Linked DNA regions of Saccharomyces cerevisiae S288C. The gene in region 2 interacts genetically with the main gene of each other region. Each region holds a gene or a part of one and is shown on either strand. Other genes may lie near its edges.

The links.
Region 1: mutations in CQD1 (region 2) and ADP1 together harm fitness more than expected from each alone (negative genetic interaction), as found in Saccharomyces cerevisiae (2 studies listed by BioGRID).
Region 3: mutations in CQD1 (region 2) and CYB2 together harm fitness more than expected from each alone (negative genetic interaction), as found in Saccharomyces cerevisiae (2 studies listed by BioGRID).
Region 4: mutations in CQD1 (region 2) and YDR338C together harm fitness more than expected from each alone (negative genetic interaction), as found in Saccharomyces cerevisiae (2 studies listed by BioGRID).

The regions. Positions count from the first base shown.
Region 1 is NC_001135.5:133,224-138,864, forward strand, and holds ADP1 (putative ATP-dependent permease ADP1), read right to left. Parts: upstream 3,651-5,641; coding exon 501-3,650; downstream 1-500. Other genes in the region: PGK1 (phosphoglycerate kinase), read left to right, coding at 4,523-5,641.
Region 2 is NC_001148.4:344,751-349,322, forward strand, and holds CQD1 (Cqd1p), read right to left. Parts: upstream 2,640-4,572; coding exon 847-2,639; intron 695-846; coding exon 514-694; downstream 1-513. Other genes in the region: YPL108W (uncharacterized protein), read left to right, coding at 3,696-4,202; DPC25 (Dpc25p), read left to right, coding at 4,369-4,572.
Region 3 is NC_001145.3:165,033-169,283, forward strand, and holds CYB2 (L-lactate dehydrogenase (cytochrome)), read right to left. Parts: upstream 2,277-4,251; coding exon 501-2,276; downstream 1-500. Other genes in the region: signal peptidase complex subunit SPC2, read left to right, coding at 1-294; YML054C-A (uncharacterized protein), read right to left, coding at 2,591-2,749; YML053C (uncharacterized protein), read right to left, coding at 4,084-4,251. UniProt on the Saccharomyces cerevisiae protein: Catalyzes the oxidation of (S)-lactate (L-lactate) to pyruvate with subsequent transfer of electrons to cytochrome c. Is involved in the utilization of (S)-lactate as a sole source of carbon for growth.
Region 4 is NC_001136.10:1,146,879-1,151,380, forward strand, and holds YDR338C (uncharacterized protein), read right to left. Parts: upstream 2,589-4,502; coding exon 501-2,588; downstream 1-500. Other genes in the region: mitochondrial 37S ribosomal protein uS15m MRPS28, read left to right, coding at 1-301; rRNA-processing protein FCF1, read right to left, coding at 3,073-3,642.

The DNA.
Region 1 (5,641 bases), on a different chromosome or scaffold from region 2:
CTGTTGTATTGTTATTGCTATTGGACGATATATAAAATGAACCTATAGCAAGATCTCAGGGAAATACGATCCAACCAAGGTGCTTTATATACAGCTTGGTGTCTCTGACAGGTTGGAGTACAGAGGAGAAGGCGCCATAGCCGCCCAACCCGCGATAACGAAAAAAAGCTGTAAGAAAATGCAGTCTTCCCCAACGTTTGTTACCCCAACAATACCGAAATAGCCGCCCAACCGCAAATCTGGCAAAAAATCTTTTCGTATCTCGCTGCAGATGACCTTCCAACCCGCCCCTTTTTGTAGTCACGCCTTTAAGGGCCCTTGTTTGGCTTGCTCACATGGGGCTACACGTAAAAACCGTAGCTTGGAGAACCACTCAGCCGCTCGCCTATTCCACGGAGCTCCGGATCAACGGGCAGTGGACCCTCTCGAAAATAAGGAAAGTTGCGGGGCCAAAAATTATTATTTCTTATGTAAAAGAAGAGACTATATACGACGCCTATCTACTTTTGTTCCACAACTATCCACTTAAGGGCTAGATACCCCATTATTAAAAACACCACATTAAACAGAGCCAGGATCTTGATGTCAAATACAAGGTTTTGGACAACAAATCCAAATGTGCTCAAGATAGTAGCGCCTGGAACTTCAATATTTAAGCCGTACTTTCTCTCTTTCAGCATCAATGTTTTGACCTCATTGATCAATAAAGATTCGTAGGCGTAGTAAAACACAGAGAAGTTTTTCAGGTACTTGAAGGCCACGTTTGTAATATTCTTAGTATTGATAAATAGTCCGCTAAACAGTAGTGAGCCCAAAAGCACCAGCACGCTTAATATTATGGAGTTATTCAAGTCTTCAAAAATTATGCCGATGGTTAGGATTTCCAACGATATCCCAAGGTTAAACAGTATAAGGATTCCAATACATTTAAAAAAAGCATTGTCTTTCATGTTTAAACCAGTCATTGGGTAAACAATCAATGACAAGAGTATAGGTGGTACAACACGTAGCGGGACCACTTCGCTCATTATCTTACTAATGTAGTATGCAAGTGGCGAGTAATAGTTATTGGATCTTTCTTTTATGAAAATGATCCTTTCCAGAGCGAACGAGCTGAGACCTGTGAATGTAACAAAACCGAAGTACGTTAGTATAAAGAAGAACAGCCCCATTCTGTTCTGAAAACCGCTGATATCATTGGAGACGTTGTAATATAGTGTTCCCAAGAATAAACTCAATAGGATCGTCAGTAAATAATTACCCAATAATAGTTTAGGGTTTCTGTACATGTTTTTAAAACTTCTTGAATTCAATATCGATAACTGTTGCAGAAAACCAGCAGATTGTTGACCTGTGGGTAAATCTCCATTCAAAACGTTACTTTCCTCATCACCTTCGCTTAAAACTTCCTCGATCTCCTGTGAAAGCTCTGCATAATAGACGCTATCTTTATATTTATCGTGTAGTAGTTTGGTATTTAAGTCAATCTCAGTAGCACCTCGCCTTCCATCTGTTCCCTCTACATCTTCTTCATCTCTGAGTAAAGATCTGATCTCATCTCTATGAGCTGCAAGATGAGCCCACTCTCTCTGTGTTGTACCATCACTGCTAGTAAATGTTGTTTGGTGTATCGTATTATCAATATCGTTAGTATCCGTACCAGCTTCTAAATCGGAAATGTTTCTGATTCTTCTCCTTTTCCCCTGAGGACCGGCTTCAAAAGTAATATCAATCAAATAATCAGCAATATTATAGTTGTCCGGACAGATATATCCCTCATTTCTCAAAAATTCTGACACTTTTTTGGCATTTCCGGAATAGACCATCTCACCTTTACTTAACAGGACCAATTTATCGAATAAATAAAATATATTTGATCTTGGCTGATGAATAGATAGCACCAATGTCCTGTTATAGTCGCTGGATAACCTTACCAAACATTCAATAACATTATTGGCATTACTAGCATCTAAACCAGATGTAGGTTCATCCAAAAATAAAACCAATGGAGATGTCACTAATTCACATGCAATGGAAACTCGGCGTTTTTCACCTCCACTAATACCACGATCAAATTCATTACCAATAATACGATCTTTGATATCAATAATTCTTAGTTCTTCCAACACCTTATAAACTCTTGCCTTCTTGGCCTCGAATGACAATGCTTTTGGCAATCTTAACAGCGCACTATTTAATACGGTTTCAAAAACAGTCAAAGTGGGCAGCAAAAAGTCATCTTGATCGACGAACCCGATTATTTTCGAGAAAGATTTACGGTCCATACTAATACCGTTAACTTTTATGGAACCCGAAACGTGACCTGTTTTCCGTTTCATTGCTAGGATATCTAATAAAGTAGTTTTACCCGCACCAGATCCACCCATGATAGCTAATATTTGGCCGGGCTTCACGATACCACTTATTTCATTCAGCACAGTTTCTTCAACACCATCTGAATTTATCGAGGGGACACTATAAGTGATATTTTCAAAACTTAATGTCGCCAGTGTGTCATCTTCATTTTGTAAGAAATTATTCACCGCATCTTCATCTGGCAAACGAATGGGAGACTTTGAGGAACCCAATCCATTTCTGAATAACGGAGATTTAGAAATGTAAAAGGTAGCAAATGTAAAAAGTGCCAGGACCATCACAGCAGTCAATGCCAACACCAATTTCCCTTGCCATGACACTGTTGGATCTTTTGAAGGAGATTTGTAACCTGGAATCTCACTATAATGAACACATTCACCGGATTCACACTTCAAAGTAATATAAGGGTCACCAAACACGGTCAATATCAAATCATTCATAGAAGGCTCACTGAATTTACATTGCCTTGTTTCTAAATCACAGCTGAAATCTCCTGGCCCTTTTATTGTCTCTGTCAGGAAATCCGAGATATCTATAGACCCCTTAGCACCACACAACACAGTGTCGGGAACGCATTTGCATTGAACGTCATTACACTTATAATGGGAGGTATTCTGTTCCAAGTCGTATTCAAAGGCACAATCACTTAAGCCACAATAGAAGCTTTCTAACTGATCTATCCAAAACTGAAAATTACATTCTTGATTAGGTTTATCACAGGCAAATGTAATTTGTGGTATTTTGCCGTTCAAAATCTGTAGAATTTTCTCATTGGTCACATTACAACCTGAAAATACTTTATCTACAATCATACCATTCTTATAACATGTCCCCTTAATACTAGGATCAGGCATGAACGCATCACAGACAAAATCTTCTTGACAAACGTCACAATTGATCCCTCCCCATCCGTTATCACAATGACAGGTGTCATTTTGTGCTCTTATGGGACGATCCTTATTACCGCTTTCATCCGGTGATAGACCGCCACAGAGGGGCAGAGAGCAATCATCACCTGCAAACCCTTCTATACACTCACATCTACCAGTGTACGAATTGCATTCAGAAAACTGTTTGCATTCAAAAATAGGTAGCATACAATTAAAACATGGCGGGCATGTATCATTGCCCTTATCTTGTGCAGTTAGACGCGAATTTTTCGAAGAAGTACCTTCAAAGAATGGGGTCTTATCTTGTTTTGCAAGTACCACTGAGCAGGATAATAATAGAAATGATAATATACTATAGTAGAGATAACGTCGATGACTTCCCATACTGTAATTGCTTTTAGTTGTGTATTTTTAGTGTGCAAGTTTCTGTAAATCGATTAATTTTTTTTTCTTTCCTCTTTTTATTAACCTTAATTTTTATTTTAGATTCCTGACTTCAACTCAAGACGCACAGATATTATAACATCTGCATAATAGGCATTTGCAAGAATTACTCGTGAGTAAGGAAAGAGTGAGGAACTATCGCATACCTGCATTTAAAGATGCCGATTTGGGCGCGAATCCTTTATTTTGGCTTCACCCTCATACTATTATCAGGGCCAGAAAAAGGAAGTGTTTCCCTCCTTCTTGAATTGATGTTACCCTCATAAAGCACGTGGCCTCTTATCGAGAAAGAAATTACCGTCGCTCGTGATTTGTTTGCAAAAAGAACAAAACTGAAAAAACCCAGACACGCTCGACTTCCTGTCTTCCTATTGATTGCAGCTTCCAATTTCGTCACACAACAAGGTCCTAGCGACGGCTCACAGGTTTTGTAACAAGCAATCGAAGGTTCTGGAATGGCGGGAAAGGGTTTAGTACCACATGCTATGATGCCCACTGTGATCTCCAGAGCAAAGTTCGTTCGATCGTACTGTTACTCTCTCTCTTTCAAACAGAATTGTCCGAATCGTGTGACAACAACAGCCTGTTCTCACACACTCTTTTCTTCTAACCAAGGGGGTGGTTTAGTTTAGTAGAACCTCGTGAAACTTACATTTACATATATATAAACTTGCATAAATTGGTCAATGCAAGAAATACATATTTGGTCTTTTCTAATTCGTAGTTTTTCAAGTTCTTAGATGCTTTCTTTTTCTCTTTTTTACAGATCATCAAGGAAGTAATTATCTACTTTTTACAACAAATATAAAACAATGTCTTTATCTTCAAAGTTGTCTGTCCAAGATTTGGACTTGAAGGACAAGCGTGTCTTCATCAGAGTTGACTTCAACGTCCCATTGGACGGTAAGAAGATCACTTCTAACCAAAGAATTGTTGCTGCTTTGCCAACCATCAAGTACGTTTTGGAACACCACCCAAGATACGTTGTCTTGGCTTCTCACTTGGGTAGACCAAACGGTGAAAGAAACGAAAAATACTCTTTGGCTCCAGTTGCTAAGGAATTGCAATCATTGTTGGGTAAGGATGTCACCTTCTTGAACGACTGTGTCGGTCCAGAAGTTGAAGCCGCTGTCAAGGCTTCTGCCCCAGGTTCCGTTATTTTGTTGGAAAACTTGCGTTACCACATCGAAGAAGAAGGTTCCAGAAAGGTCGATGGTCAAAAGGTCAAGGCTTCCAAGGAAGATGTTCAAAAGTTCAGACACGAATTGAGCTCTTTGGCTGATGTTTACATCAACGATGCCTTCGGTACCGCTCACAGAGCTCACTCTTCTATGGTCGGTTTCGACTTGCCACAACGTGCTGCCGGTTTCTTGTTGGAAAAGGAATTGAAGTACTTCGGTAAGGCTTTGGAGAACCCAACCAGACCATTCTTGGCCATCTTAGGTGGTGCCAAGGTTGCTGACAAGATTCAATTGATTGACAACTTGTTGGACAAGGTCGACTCTATCATCATTGGTGGTGGTATGGCTTTCACCTTCAAGAAGGTTTTGGAAAACACTGAAATCGGTGACTCCATCTTCGACAAGGCTGGTGCTGAAATCGTTCCAAAGTTGATGGAAAAGGCCAAGGCCAAGGGTGTCGAAGTCGTCTTGCCAGTCGACTTCATCATTGCTGATGCTTTCTCTGCTGATGCCAACACCAAGACTGTCACTGACAAGGAAGGTATTCCAGCTGGCTGGCAAGGGTTGGACAATGGTCCAGAATCTAGAAAGTTGTTTGCTGCTACTGTTGCAAAGGCTAAGACCATTGTCTGGAACGGTCCACCAGGTGTTTTCGAATTCGAAAAGTTCGCTGCTGGTACTAAGGCTTTGTTAGACGAAGTTGTCAAGAGCTCTGCTGCTGGTAACACCGTCATCATTGGTGGTGGTGAC
Region 2 (4,572 bases):
TTTGATTATATAAAGACCTTACAGTTTCAGTAGTTTGTCACCTTAGTTGGAGATAGTGGCTATTTTTGTGTAATTTGATGAGGGTTCCCTTCTTAGTTGGGTTTAAATTTTTTGCTACCGTTGCCTTATTGTTCAATGAAGCACTAATTGCAAAACTTAAACTCTTTAATAGTCTCACTTTGTAAGACAATAATTTATTTTTTACTTCTGTCAGCCAACGCTCTCTTTTTAATATAATGTGCACGTTCTAAAAATAATTCTCTTATTCAGTTGGCGCTATTAAGTGAATTAGAAACGTTTTGACGAAATTTACTATTAAAAGAACACTACGAGTCGATAATGACAGCACTGGTCTAAATTTCAGCTAGAGCAACAGCAAATTATTATTTGTCACTTAAATAAACTTGGTCGTTTTTTTGGAGAGCTAATATGTTGGGACAGCGTGTGTAACATTGCTCCACCTGCGAACACGTGGAAGTCGCAATTATAAAAGATGCATAAAAAGAAAGAATATTAATAATTAGGACACAATTGATCAGTCCTGACAAGATCGTATATTTGCTTCATCGAGAGATGCATTAATTGACGCACTTCTAAACCAACCCATATCTTGAGCATTGATAATGTGCTTGCATCTTTCAAGAGACTTTTGGCTTCCCGCTTAAACCCGAATTCACGTAATATAGGCAGCGAACTGTTTACGAAGAGAAGTTACAAGATGTGGGTATTTTTGTTAGTAAAAGAATTTCTTTAGTAGCAATAAAAAGCAAAAAAAAGCAATAGAAAAGGGTTTTAAAAAATTGATGTTATTCTTTAAAACCGTTAATCCATGCGTAAAATACGAACCTTTCAAATAAGTCCAAGTTTGGATCTAACTGGCGTCCAATACCCTCTAGAAGTAAAATAGCGACCACCACGGAAACAAAGTCGGACTCCATTCTAACATGGTGCGACCTTACCATACTAAGCATTTGATCGAGTAAATCGCCAATTGAGACGGTTCCCAATGTAAATGTTCTTTGTTTAACTTTATCCACTAGCTTTTCTACCTTAAACGCAAATACTTCCTTATCAATAGCTGTTTCTGGAGTTCTTGATCTCTCAATCATCAACTCACCAGCTCTATAACCATCAAATCGGGCCAATGCGTTGAATAGAGCTATGAAATTAATTCTGTTTTTTTCATTCAATTCTGTAATTATTCCTGTATCGATAAAACAAATTTGGGGAGTGTAATTAGTTAATACAGACTTCAGTTTTCCAACAAAGTCCTGATCTTGGTCCTCCTCTATCTTCTTCCTCAGGTCGTGCGTTATTCTGTACGATTCAAGTTCGGAGGATATAATGTTTGTGCCGTATTTGTTCGTCTTCACAAATCTGATTATAACATTGCCTGGATGCAAATCAGCATGAACAAAATCATCAAGAATTAGCATTTGTAGAAACGCGTCAACGAAGGGATCACTGACTTTTTTACAAAGTTCAACGTCGTTAATTTGCTTCTTCGTAGATAAAAACTTTTCCATGGAAAGACCATATACATGCTCTTCGAACATAACATCCCTATTTGACAAGGGGAGAAATGGTTTAGGAAATTTCACCTGAATAGAATTTTTAAAGTTCTCATTGAATCTTTCCAGGTTTAACGCCTCAATTCTTAGATCCAACTGAATATTCATTAATATGGAAAACTGATCGACTTCGCTGGGTAAAGACAGCCATTCCATAGTCGGAATCCAATTTATTGCGTCAGCACAGAATTTCATTATTTTCAAATCTCTCCGGATCTGAGATCTTACATTTGGATGCAAGATCTTGATGGCACACCAACGATTTCCATCCTTACCAATTTGTATATTGTCATATTTATCGATGTACTTTTGGGATAGTTCACCCACGTAAACTTGTGCGATGGACCCAACTCCAATTGGTGTTCGATTAAATTCATCAAAAGCATCTTCGATCTTGTCAACCTTTAATGCTTGAGAAAGTTTTTCCAGAGTAAAGCTTAGAGAGTGAGCTGTAACGTTACTATGCAATTTACCCAACTCATGACACAGTGCGTGAGAGAATATATCGGTTCTCGATCCTGCCCATTGTCCGAGTTTAATGAAACTCGGGCCAGCCAATTCCAATGCTTTACGCAGTAGTTGACACCAAATCAATGAACCTCGAGTTTCAGTTATATTGGTGTCCGTAATTTTGAGTTTATGACCAAACCATGATATGGGGTATAATAGGAGAAGAGGTAAAAAAATAGCTGAAATTTCTAAAAACCTTAAAATCGTGCATACAGGCTCAACAATATTATCATTAAAACCGAACCAAAAGATTCTTAGATATCTTATTAATTTATTTCGTGATTCAGTGATCTTAGCAGACCTGAAAGATTTAAGCTTTTCCTGCAATTCGTTTTCTGAGGAAACGTAGAGGCCCATTTCAAAAGTATCACCTTTGGGATCCGGTTTTAGAGAATCATTGTATATCAAACAATTTTGTTTTGGAAACGAATTTTGTGTCAAATAAAAAGCAATTGACGTAGGTATTATGAACTGTCTTATAGGTATTTTATGAAAATGCCGTGTGGACTTGCTATAGTATCGCCAAGAGTTTCTATAAGCGAACTTTAAAAATGACATTGCCCAGATGGTTCTGATGTTCTTTATCTCTATTCTGTGAGGGTTTGATATTGATGAGTAGGTAGAAGATATGGTATAAGGTATTTTCTATAACATCAAACATCTTTTCTTTTTCATCAAATGAGTGAAAAGGTATTATTGCCCCTCATATATTCGGGGTTATTTATTTTTCGTTGCTTGAAGTAAAGCCTTTAATACACACTTAGTATTTAAACACTTAAGATTTACGAATCACAGATTCTAAATTTGTATTTAATAAATTGATTCTAAGTACAGGAAGTATCAAGGGGGGGGGTTGACAGATAGAATCACACCTTGATTAATTTAGTTCCTGATGAACAAGCCAACTTGACCAATCAAACCCTTTCGCGGCACTTTTTCTCTTAGCTCTGCTTGATACATCGACTGGGAACTTCTTCTCTTTGAGCCAACTAACCTCAATCCCTTAAAGATTTTGTAAACCGCAGAAACACCTGGTTGTTTTCGCTTGTTGGCAAAGGTTAATAACACAGTAACTTTCAATCTTGTTCCGAAGTGCAGAGTGCAGTTCCCTGTGTGTTCAAGTGACATACGGCATTTGAATACACTACACTTATCGTCATGTCAAAACAAGTGTTATAGAAGCAGCGTTAATATAATATTAGTACCTGTACAGTTTTAAACTCAATTGAGTGCAAAGATCTGATGCATCCCATTTTAGTTTCTCATAAATTATTGCTTTGGTTCATAGTTCAATTGTAAGCATTATTAAAACAACTGCTTCTATTTAGACAATACAAGAACGCGATCTTTCCAGTAACTGCCTAATCTGAAATTATGTTTTTCAGTTGCGCCTGTGGCCTACACAACTTGCATAATAAGCAGTTAAAAATAACTCCTAATCTTACTAATCTTGTCGAACTAGACTAGCTGTAATGATCTGTCATATATAAGTTAATATTCAACATCGACTGTAATTGTCAATTCAATCTTGACAGCAACGATTGAAGTCATCGCCTCGCCGTAATTGAAAAAAAAATGTAAGATGAATAACAGCTAAGAAAGATAATAATTTTTATGAAAGAAGCATCTGATAGAGAAGAAGCACCAAAAATGGTGGAAAAAAACTATAGTACAGGTTTTAGGAAAGCCCACGGAGAGAAGGATCAATCAGTGACTAAGCCAATCTCGTTAGATGGTAGAACAGGTGAAGTAATTGTTAGAAAATCCACCGGGAAAACTAAAATACGTAAAGGTCAAACGGAAGAAGAGTATACACAGCAATTGCAGCACTACTTCGAAGTAGAACAAGGCCCTGTGCGGACAAAGGTAGGATGGATGGATGAGGTAGATCCCTTGGTTGAGATCCGGGAAGGCAAGTACGATATCTCCAATAAGCATCAGCGACAGGTGCTTAGTGGTTTCTGCCATCGTTTATTTTACCAATGTAAGTACAAGGAGTGTCTGGATCTCAGCACCTATTTTCTGGGGCTCTTTGAACCGTTCAACGTGAAGAATAAAATGAAGAGGGAGCTTGAAGAGTTGGAATATATGATCGAGCGATGTCGTGGGCATGTATTATAAGCCCGAATCAGATACTCAAATTTGAAAAAAGATATCTTTCTCCTCCGACATGGCCGAACTCATTTACATAAATAGCATAAATTAAACAGAATAATAATACGTAAATTACAACAGTCAGAGGGTGCATGAAACCGTCATTAGATAGAGACGTGATCAAAAGTAGAAAATGATAAGAAATCAGGGATGGTCATTACTTTACAGAATTTATCCGGTGCGGAGGTTCACAAGATACTCCAGAGTAGATATGACTTTTGAAGGAAACACTCAAGATATCTCTACTTCTGTCGAAGAAAGAATGACCACTGTTTTTGGAGGACGCTTAAAGGGTGAACCACCAAGATCCACAAGTAGAGTGCTTAGCGGCGGAACG
Region 3 (4,251 bases), on a different chromosome or scaffold from region 2:
CTCTCGCTACTTTTCTGGTATTTCTCTCGTTTTATTGAAAAGGGGACTGTTTATGTGGGAAAGAGAAGAGGTACAAAGGAGGAAATATATGTAAAGACAAAGTTCGAAAAGAACGAACCATTATATCTGGTTGAGCTTGTTCAGAAAAAAAAGGGAGAAAACTCCAAGAAGGAGTTGAAGGCAAAATTAGAAGTGAATAAGGTTTTTAATGAAAGTGGATATTTACAGAACGATGCGTATTTTAAGTGGTTCTCTGAACAGCACAATGTCCTCGACACCAAAAAAAATGAATAAATAATGTATAAAACATATAACTTTGCAAATGATTCAAAAATTCAAATTTTCTCTCTCTCTCTCTATAAACATAAATATATATGTGTATATGTTTTCTTTTTTTTTTTTTTTTTTTTTTGAATGATATTAAGTTATACGAATGTTCGATAATATATATGTATGAATAAATAAAAAGTTTTTAAAGTAGCCTTAAAGCTAGGCTATAATCATGCATCCTCAAATTCTGTTAAAGTAGGTCCCTCATAAACTTCATTATACAGCACGTCGTTTGGTACTCCAACTGTTCTTGCCTTTAGTGTTGATAGATCTAAAAGATCAGGCTTCAATTCCGCAATGCTAGTAACACCTAATAGTCTCATAGACATTTCAATTTCATCTCTTAAAATTTCAATGGCTTTTTCAACACCATTACGACCATAGCATGAGTTCGCATACAAGAATGGTCTACCCAAACCAACACCTTTAGCACCTAGACATAACGCTTTCAAGACATCTGTACCACGACGAACACCACCGTCCACGAAAACTTCCAACTTATCCTTCAAGTTACGTTGTTCCAGGATTGGCATGGTTTCAGCCAGGACTTCAATGGGAGCCCTTGAAAAATCTAATTGTCTACCACCATGATTGGATAGAACCACCCCACTTACACCGATTTCTGCTGCTTTGATAACATCTTCGGTACGTTGAACACCTTTGATAACAATAGGTAGTTTTGTCTTTTTCTTCAACTCTTCTATATCTTTCCAAGTCAAAGAGGGGTCAATAAACTTTGATAACGCTCTCGAAGCACCTTGAGATTCTTCTACATTAGTTTTCTTCATCGCTTTTGGACCAGCCTTTGTATTGGAAAATTTCAGCTTCATATCTTTTTCTCTTTGACCTAAACTTGGAGCATCCACAGTGACAAATAATGCCTTTACACCCAGCTTTTCTACATTTTTAACCAAATCATCAGTGATCTTTCTATCAGAGTTAACATATAGTTGGTACCATTGAATTTGTTTATCAGAGGGTGCTGCTTCAATAATTTCCTCAGGGGAACATGAAGCCAAAGTAGATATCATTTGTGGGACTTTTGTCACACCTTGGCCACAACCTCTGGCGACATCTTTTTCACCTTCTAAGGGGTTTCCCAGTTTACACAAAGCTGTAGCAGACACGTAGAAGGGAACATCCACATGAGAACCCAACATGTCAGTTGAAATGTCTACTTTGCGTACATCTACAAGGATCTTTGGTTTGAAAAAAATCCTATGATAAGCATTATGGTTTTCTCTGTGAGTAACTTCGTCGTTAGCACCGGAGGAATAGTAGGCCCACGCTTGTTTAGTCAAAGTTTGAGAGGCCAAGTATTCAAAGTCGTAAAGGTTAATAATATTATCTAGAGGAGGTAGCAGCGATTTTAGTTGTTCTTTTCTAGCGATATCTTCCTTAGTTTCACCAGGAGCATAAGGAGGACAGACAAGTTCAGGAGGCATGGATCCTTGAAGGGGACCCAATTTTTTCTCGGGAGCTATATACTTATCGATGACATTAGGAGCATGTAGTGGTTCAAAAATAGCAGTGACATCTTTCCCGGCGTTAAACTTGATAACATCCTGCCCACCTGGATGATTTGGTAGGAATCGCGTTAAGTCGTATACGTAACCATTGATCACAACCCAACAATCATCGGGCTTGTTATGCTTGGCAACTTCAGCGGGCGAAATCTTTTGTTTATTCATATCCAGTTTCGGCTCGTTGTCTATTTGGCCATTATGCCAGTTTAGATACGCCACGGAACTAGTAGCGGCTAGAATTGCACCGACTCTCAAGGCAGTCCATGACTGTGTGCGTTTTCTTGAGTCTTGTTCGAACGACTTGGATTTTGGAACGGTAGAACCGTACGCGCGGATTGTGTTCAATCTAGTCTTAGACGCTCTGAGGATAGCAGCCTCACAGTTCTTCGAGATTTTTAGTAAAGGTTTGTATTTTAGCATTGACTACTTTTGTTTGCTTTCTTCTCTATGCGGGAACTGTATTAGCGACATAGGATGTAAGAATACGAAAAGATGCAAGAAGATTAGTCGACCAGGTACTTATATATTCACATACTCCAACTGAAAGTATTGGAGATCTAAGGTTCAGCAGTTGGTTCTTGGCGGTTCTTGTATGACATTATTATTGGTCGGGTCGTAGTTCTCTCGAACAGGAGGAGGGGGCAAGGAGATATCGGCAGGCTTTTTGCTAGCGCCTTGTTTGAAAAGCGTGGGGGTAGGTCTCCAAGCGATTATTGAGGAAGTAGTTTCAAGTATTACAGAGTCCAGGGCACAAGGGTCTTCATTATAGAGAGAGAATTTTCGTGAAAAAAATGGGCAGAATGCCACATGTTAGCAATGCAACGACTTGAGTGGGGGGTGATCCTTCCGATGTATGCGTGAAAGATCTCGTGTTGTGCAGGAAAGGGAATCATTTCGGAAAAAAAAGATGCAACAAGGAGGATGGCATGTGGATACTACGTTCTTGCGTAATATCCTTTTTGTTGCCTGTGTTAATACGTGAGCAACATTTTTTGTTAAAGTAGGCGATCAACTATTGCCCCCTGATATTGGTAGTAATTCTGCTAAAATATCGGCTGAGAAATGGTGATTCTCAAATAATTGCTGGGATTCCACTGGATATGGCCCCATTCTTAGATATATGGAACGTAGTAGAAGGCCTCTTAGAGGCTATGGGAGTCTCTCAAGAGAAAATCGACATTTTTACGTAATCATTCGTTCATTTCACTTTATACGTCATGATTCAATATCGTATTACTTTATCAAGTACCCGCGTTTAAACTTCATTAAATGACTGCGTCTCAATCTTTATGTCATCCTCCCTCCGCAAGTGACAATGTACTGGTAAAATAAAAACTAACTAACTAGATGATATTTTTAGAGTTTTATTCCAACGTTTCTCAATAGGCGATGGAGGAACAGAGTGAATATAAGAGGCTCTGTGGATTTATGGTTACCGGATTTATTTCGTAAATTCTTATTGAAGAATGGGTGAATTTTGAGATAATCGTTGGGATTCCATTTTTAATAAGGCAATAATATTAGGTATGTAGAATGTACTAGAAGTTCTCCTCGAGGATTTAGGAATCCATAAAAGGGAATCTGCAATTCTACACAATTCTATAAATATTATTATCATCATTTTATATGTTAATATTCATTGATCCTATTACATTATCAATCCTTGCGTTTCAGCTTCCACTAATTTAGATGACTATTTCTCATCATTTGCGTCATCTTCTAACACCGTATATGATAATATACTAGTAACGTAAATACTAGTTAGTAGATGATAGTTGATTTTTATTCCAACACTTATATTCTATATATCCATAACATTGTCTACATATAATCCGAGAGGTTACGACAACATTCATATAATAAGGGTAGTACTGACACTTTATTTTGAAGTAAATCAAAATAGTCACTCTCGGTAGCCAAGTTGGTTTAAGGCGCAAGACTGTAATTTACCACTACGAAATCTTGAGATCGGGCGTTCGACTCGCCCCCGGGAGATATTTTTTTTCCCTTTTTCTCCAGGCCTAGTGAGGTTTGAGTTTTGAACGTTTTATAGATAGATGTAAGGTAGCCAGAATGAGCACTTAGCCTTTAAAGTAAATTGAGTAGAGATACGTAAACAGTCGTGATAAATATGTAATACATTGTATTATTTTAAATAGGTTAAATTTTCTTTTTTTTTTTTCCATTTCATTTTCATTTTCATTTCCTGCAGTTATTTTTTTTCTTATTAATCTATATCCATGTAATCGTTAGCGATATTGTTGTTAGTCAACGCGGCCATGGCAGTACCGGGTGCTTGTGATGCAATTATACTTTGGGATGGTAGAAGATGATACTGGTGTTGTATAATACTAGCACTTCCAGTAGGACTCGTGCCTGTTATGTCGCGATTAGT
Region 4 (4,502 bases), on a different chromosome or scaffold from region 2:
TATGGCAAACCATATTAAAGAGCATCGTAAGGATTTTGCTAACACCAGAAATTTGAGGATATTAGTCCAGCAAAGGCAGGCAATATTAAGATATTTGAAAAGAGATAATCCTGAAAAATACTACTGGACTATTCAAAAACTAGGATTGAATGATGCGGCCATAACGGATGAATTCAATATGGACAGGCGTTACATGCAAGATTATGAATTTTTTGGTGATAAAATATTGATAAGAGATTCTAAGAAAGTGGCAAATCAAAAGCGTAAGGAGATAAGAAAACAAAAAAGGGCTACATTTTAGAATAATTTGAATCATATGTAGAAAAGCTTGTAAATAAGAAACCGTCATATTCTTTTTTTTTTTTTGACCGCGTATGAATCAGTAATTTATTTCATTTTGAATTACATCATTATAAAAAGTTCTTAGTAATATATGCATTGGGTATACAATCACGTGTACTATCAAATAAAGAAATGAAAATACGGATATACCTCTGTAATTAAGCCCCTAAGAGGGCTGTGTTTTCATCAGGATCGTCTGAGTCTGTTAAATACTCATCGCTATCTACTTCATCATCTTCGGTTTCTTTCAAAATCTCAGCATAGGTCATAATTTTGTCCCAATCGGGAAATAATACGTAATAAGCCTCAACTAGCCCAATTAAAAGCATGGCACTTCCAATACCAATCCAAAGACCATACAATTTCATGTCAAAGAACCAACTTAGGATGAGAGCCAGGGGAATTCCAAATAGATAGTAAGCCATTAAATTTACTATACTTCCTAGAGATTGCATGCCTTGACCCCTGAGGCAAGACCCAGCAACGGCATTAAGCGAGTCGAAATTTTGCACAATACCCACCAAGGGCAATACTTGCGCAATTAATTTGATGACTTCGGGATCTTTTGAGTAAATGTTGGCGATTAGATTACGTCCAAATACTAGTATGCAGCAATTGATGAACCCCGCAATAAACGAAAATGACAACCCAACTTGAGAAGAGATGTGCGCGAAATCGGTTCTTTTTGCACCAATGAAGTTCGCAATTCTCGTAGAGGTAGATATACCTATTGCAAATGGGATCATATAGAGCAATGCAGCCATAGTAGATACTGCCGACTGAGCTGCTAGATAACTGACACCGTAATATGCACTAAATAACGTCAATAGTTCATATGACAGCTCTTCCGCCTCCAACATAATAATACCTGAGAAGGCTAAATGCCCTAAATCATTCCAATGGGTGAAAGCCTTCCTTGAGAATCCACCCCAGCATTTTCTTCCATCAATATACAATGCATAAAACAATAGTAAGAAAAACATTAGCCAGAAGTTAAGCACAACGGCAATTGCAGCCCCAATAAATCCAACACCAATGTACTTGTTCCAAACGAGAGTGTAACTGACTAATACGTTTAAGGGAGCACATATTGTCAAAACGTAGATGCCTGCATCGAAAATACCTTGGGCTTGTAAAAATCGTTTTAAATTTTCAAAAAAAATATACGCTGGCGCTCCCAATATTAGTACTCTTAAAAATCGTGACGTTAGGTTGATTAATTCTTTCTCAGGGATGATATAAGAAAGAAGAGGTTCAGAATACCACCACATGACAGCAAAAGGTATATATATGACCAATGAAAAAGCAATGCAACGTTGAAGGTGAACTCCTACACTGTAGAATCTCCCAGAGCCATACGCTTGAGGGCATAGAGTATCTAGACTAGTGGCAATACCCTCGAATATCGCTAGTGTTATATTAGAAGTCATGGATGCTAAGGACACAGCTGCTAGTTCATTTTTGCCTAAGTGGCCCACAGTTAATGAACATACCATAGGGAAAATCTGTTCCAATAAGAATGTGAAAATTAGAGGGAAGGAATAAGATGCCAAAACTCTTGCTTCTGATTTGAAGGTGACGTGGCTGTGAGCCAATTCTGCTAGTGCCTCAGAATCGTTCTCGTCGATCTCTTGGTAAATTGTGGGAACTGAGCCTCGGCTAGTCACAGATACGAATGATGGTCTTCTGTGATGTGAGGTGCCTTTAGCGTCTGTTACCGCACTTCGAGTTAATTTCTGTTTCTGAGCTTGGAGTCTATTCATAAATTCGTCATATTCTAGTTCTCTTCCAGAATATTCTTGTATTCTATCTGGTGTGTTGCTTTGACTTGCTTCCTCATTATCAGAGTTGCATACCGATGAGTATCGTCGTTCATGTTCATGTAGAATCCAATCAACATCTTGTGGCGAAAGCTCAGGAGTTTCTGATACCCTTGATGGTAGAGAAATCGTTCTGCTCAGTTCGCCATCTTCTTCATCATGATAGTAAAGGTCAGGTTCCTCATCAATATTACCTAAGTACGGATTTGGTTCATGGACGTTACTTCCAAAATCATCTGTTAAAGATCTGAAACTCCTCTGATCAATATTTCTCGTTCTTGCACGAAATTTTCGTACCAGAGGATTCTTCTTGTTGGGAGGTAGGAAGCCTAGCGATATCCTCCTGTGAGTGTTACCGATACCCATACCATTTGTTCGGAGGGAAGGATGCACTTCTGAAAGAGTCTTTGACAAAATTCCAGCCATTTTTTCAACCTTTTTTTTATCCGTATATATTAAGGTATGCTATATGTGTATTTTCCAATGTTTAGTTTTTATAATAATACTTCTTCAGCATCAAATATGCTTGCTTATGTAAAAATACAATCAAGTTTTGTCCCTTGCTTGCGCGAAGATGAAAACTTCCTTAAGAAATATTCTGCATCGCGTGGAACCCATGGAAGAGGATAATAGCTGACAGTGATATTATGAAAAGATGCCAAATGGTTACCGTTTATAACTGTTACTGGTCGCGTCTCAAACGCCCTCTTTTTTCTCCTTGCATTTGCGTTTCTTTAGAGCAATTATTGAGTAAATGGTCTTGAAAAGAAATAGAAATATCCTTAGGCATTTCAGTTCATCTGAAAACATGCTCCAATACGGGCAAACCATGAACTTGTTGTTATGAAATTAATATACATATAAACCAAAAACATTGCACTACATACTTAAAGAGTGAATACACAGTAGTTTAAAAGACATCTGGCAATTTTTCAATGACGTATGCGTGACCGCCTACGCTCATCAAAGGAATTCCAGGGATTTTTCTAATTCTTTGTTTCAGGCCGGCATCGTTTGTAGCTACGATGTAACACTTATGTTGTAAGACTCGATGCACTAAACAGTCATCCGCGTACGTACCCTTGTGCGAACAGCTTAGTCTCTTTATTCTAGGATCTCGAGCCAGTTTCAAGGCGATACGGTACTTGGGGCCCAATTTTTCTAACTCTGCCATCACACAATCTGTGATTAACGGGTTACATTTTGCGAGTAGACAGTCCATCATTCCTCTAACAATATCGACTTTTTTCTGGATAGAAAAATTTATAAAATTGGTATCTATCAGTACTTGATAAGGTGGCTTTATAGCTTGATTGTATTGAAAGAAAAGTGCACTTGATACTTGTGGTATATTCCTGGTTAGCTCAGGGTCTTCTTTAGTTTTGATATTTTCCTGGTTTTTCTTCAATCTTTGGTCTTTCTTGGTGTTCAAAGTTCTTTTTACGAGGCCAAACTTTCTTGTTTTCTTAGCTTTACCCATAATTAACTGTTGTAGTATATCGATATTTCCGTTACAAGTCACTGTTATTGTGTGTTAATGCACAGTAATGTTTAAAGAGGCATCATTCAAGAATAGTAGCAAGCTGAAAAATTTTAGCCGTTCATAATGATACCTTTAGAAATATGCCAAATTTTTTTGTTATATCTTCCAGTAGGAACCGATAGTTTGAGTAATGTTTATAAAATCATTGCAAGTGAATAAGCAATTAATGGCAATAGTCCACAAACGATAGGTACATGAAGGTGGCTCACAATCAAAAAAATCAAGCTTTAAAATAGTGGATGTAGAAAAAATAAAGTGCGTCACAGACAGGATTCGAACCTGCGCAGGTAAAACCCAATGCCTAATTGCTTTTCTGAGGAAATAGCAGGCATCGCCTTAACCACTCGGCCACTGGGACTGAAACACTTTGAAGTGAAAGTGTTTCTAGTTTTCTATATCATTACTATGGTGAAAATCTATATTTTCTTGATTAGGAATAAAATCATGGAAAGAAGTGTTGGAATAAAAATTCACTATCGTCTGTCAACTAATAGTTATAGTATCAATATACTATCATATACGGTGTTAGATTATGACATAAGTTATGAGAAGCTGTCATCGAAGTTAGGGGAAGCTGAAGTGCAAGGATTGATAATGTAATAGGATAATGAAACATATAAAACGGAATGAGGAATAATCGTAATATTAGTGTATAGAAATATAGATTCCATTTTGGGATTCCTATATCCTCGAGGAGAATTTCTAGTATATTCTGTATACCTAATATTATAGCCTTTATCGACAATGGAATCCCAACAATTATCTCAAAATTCACCCAATTCTCAATTTGATAATTG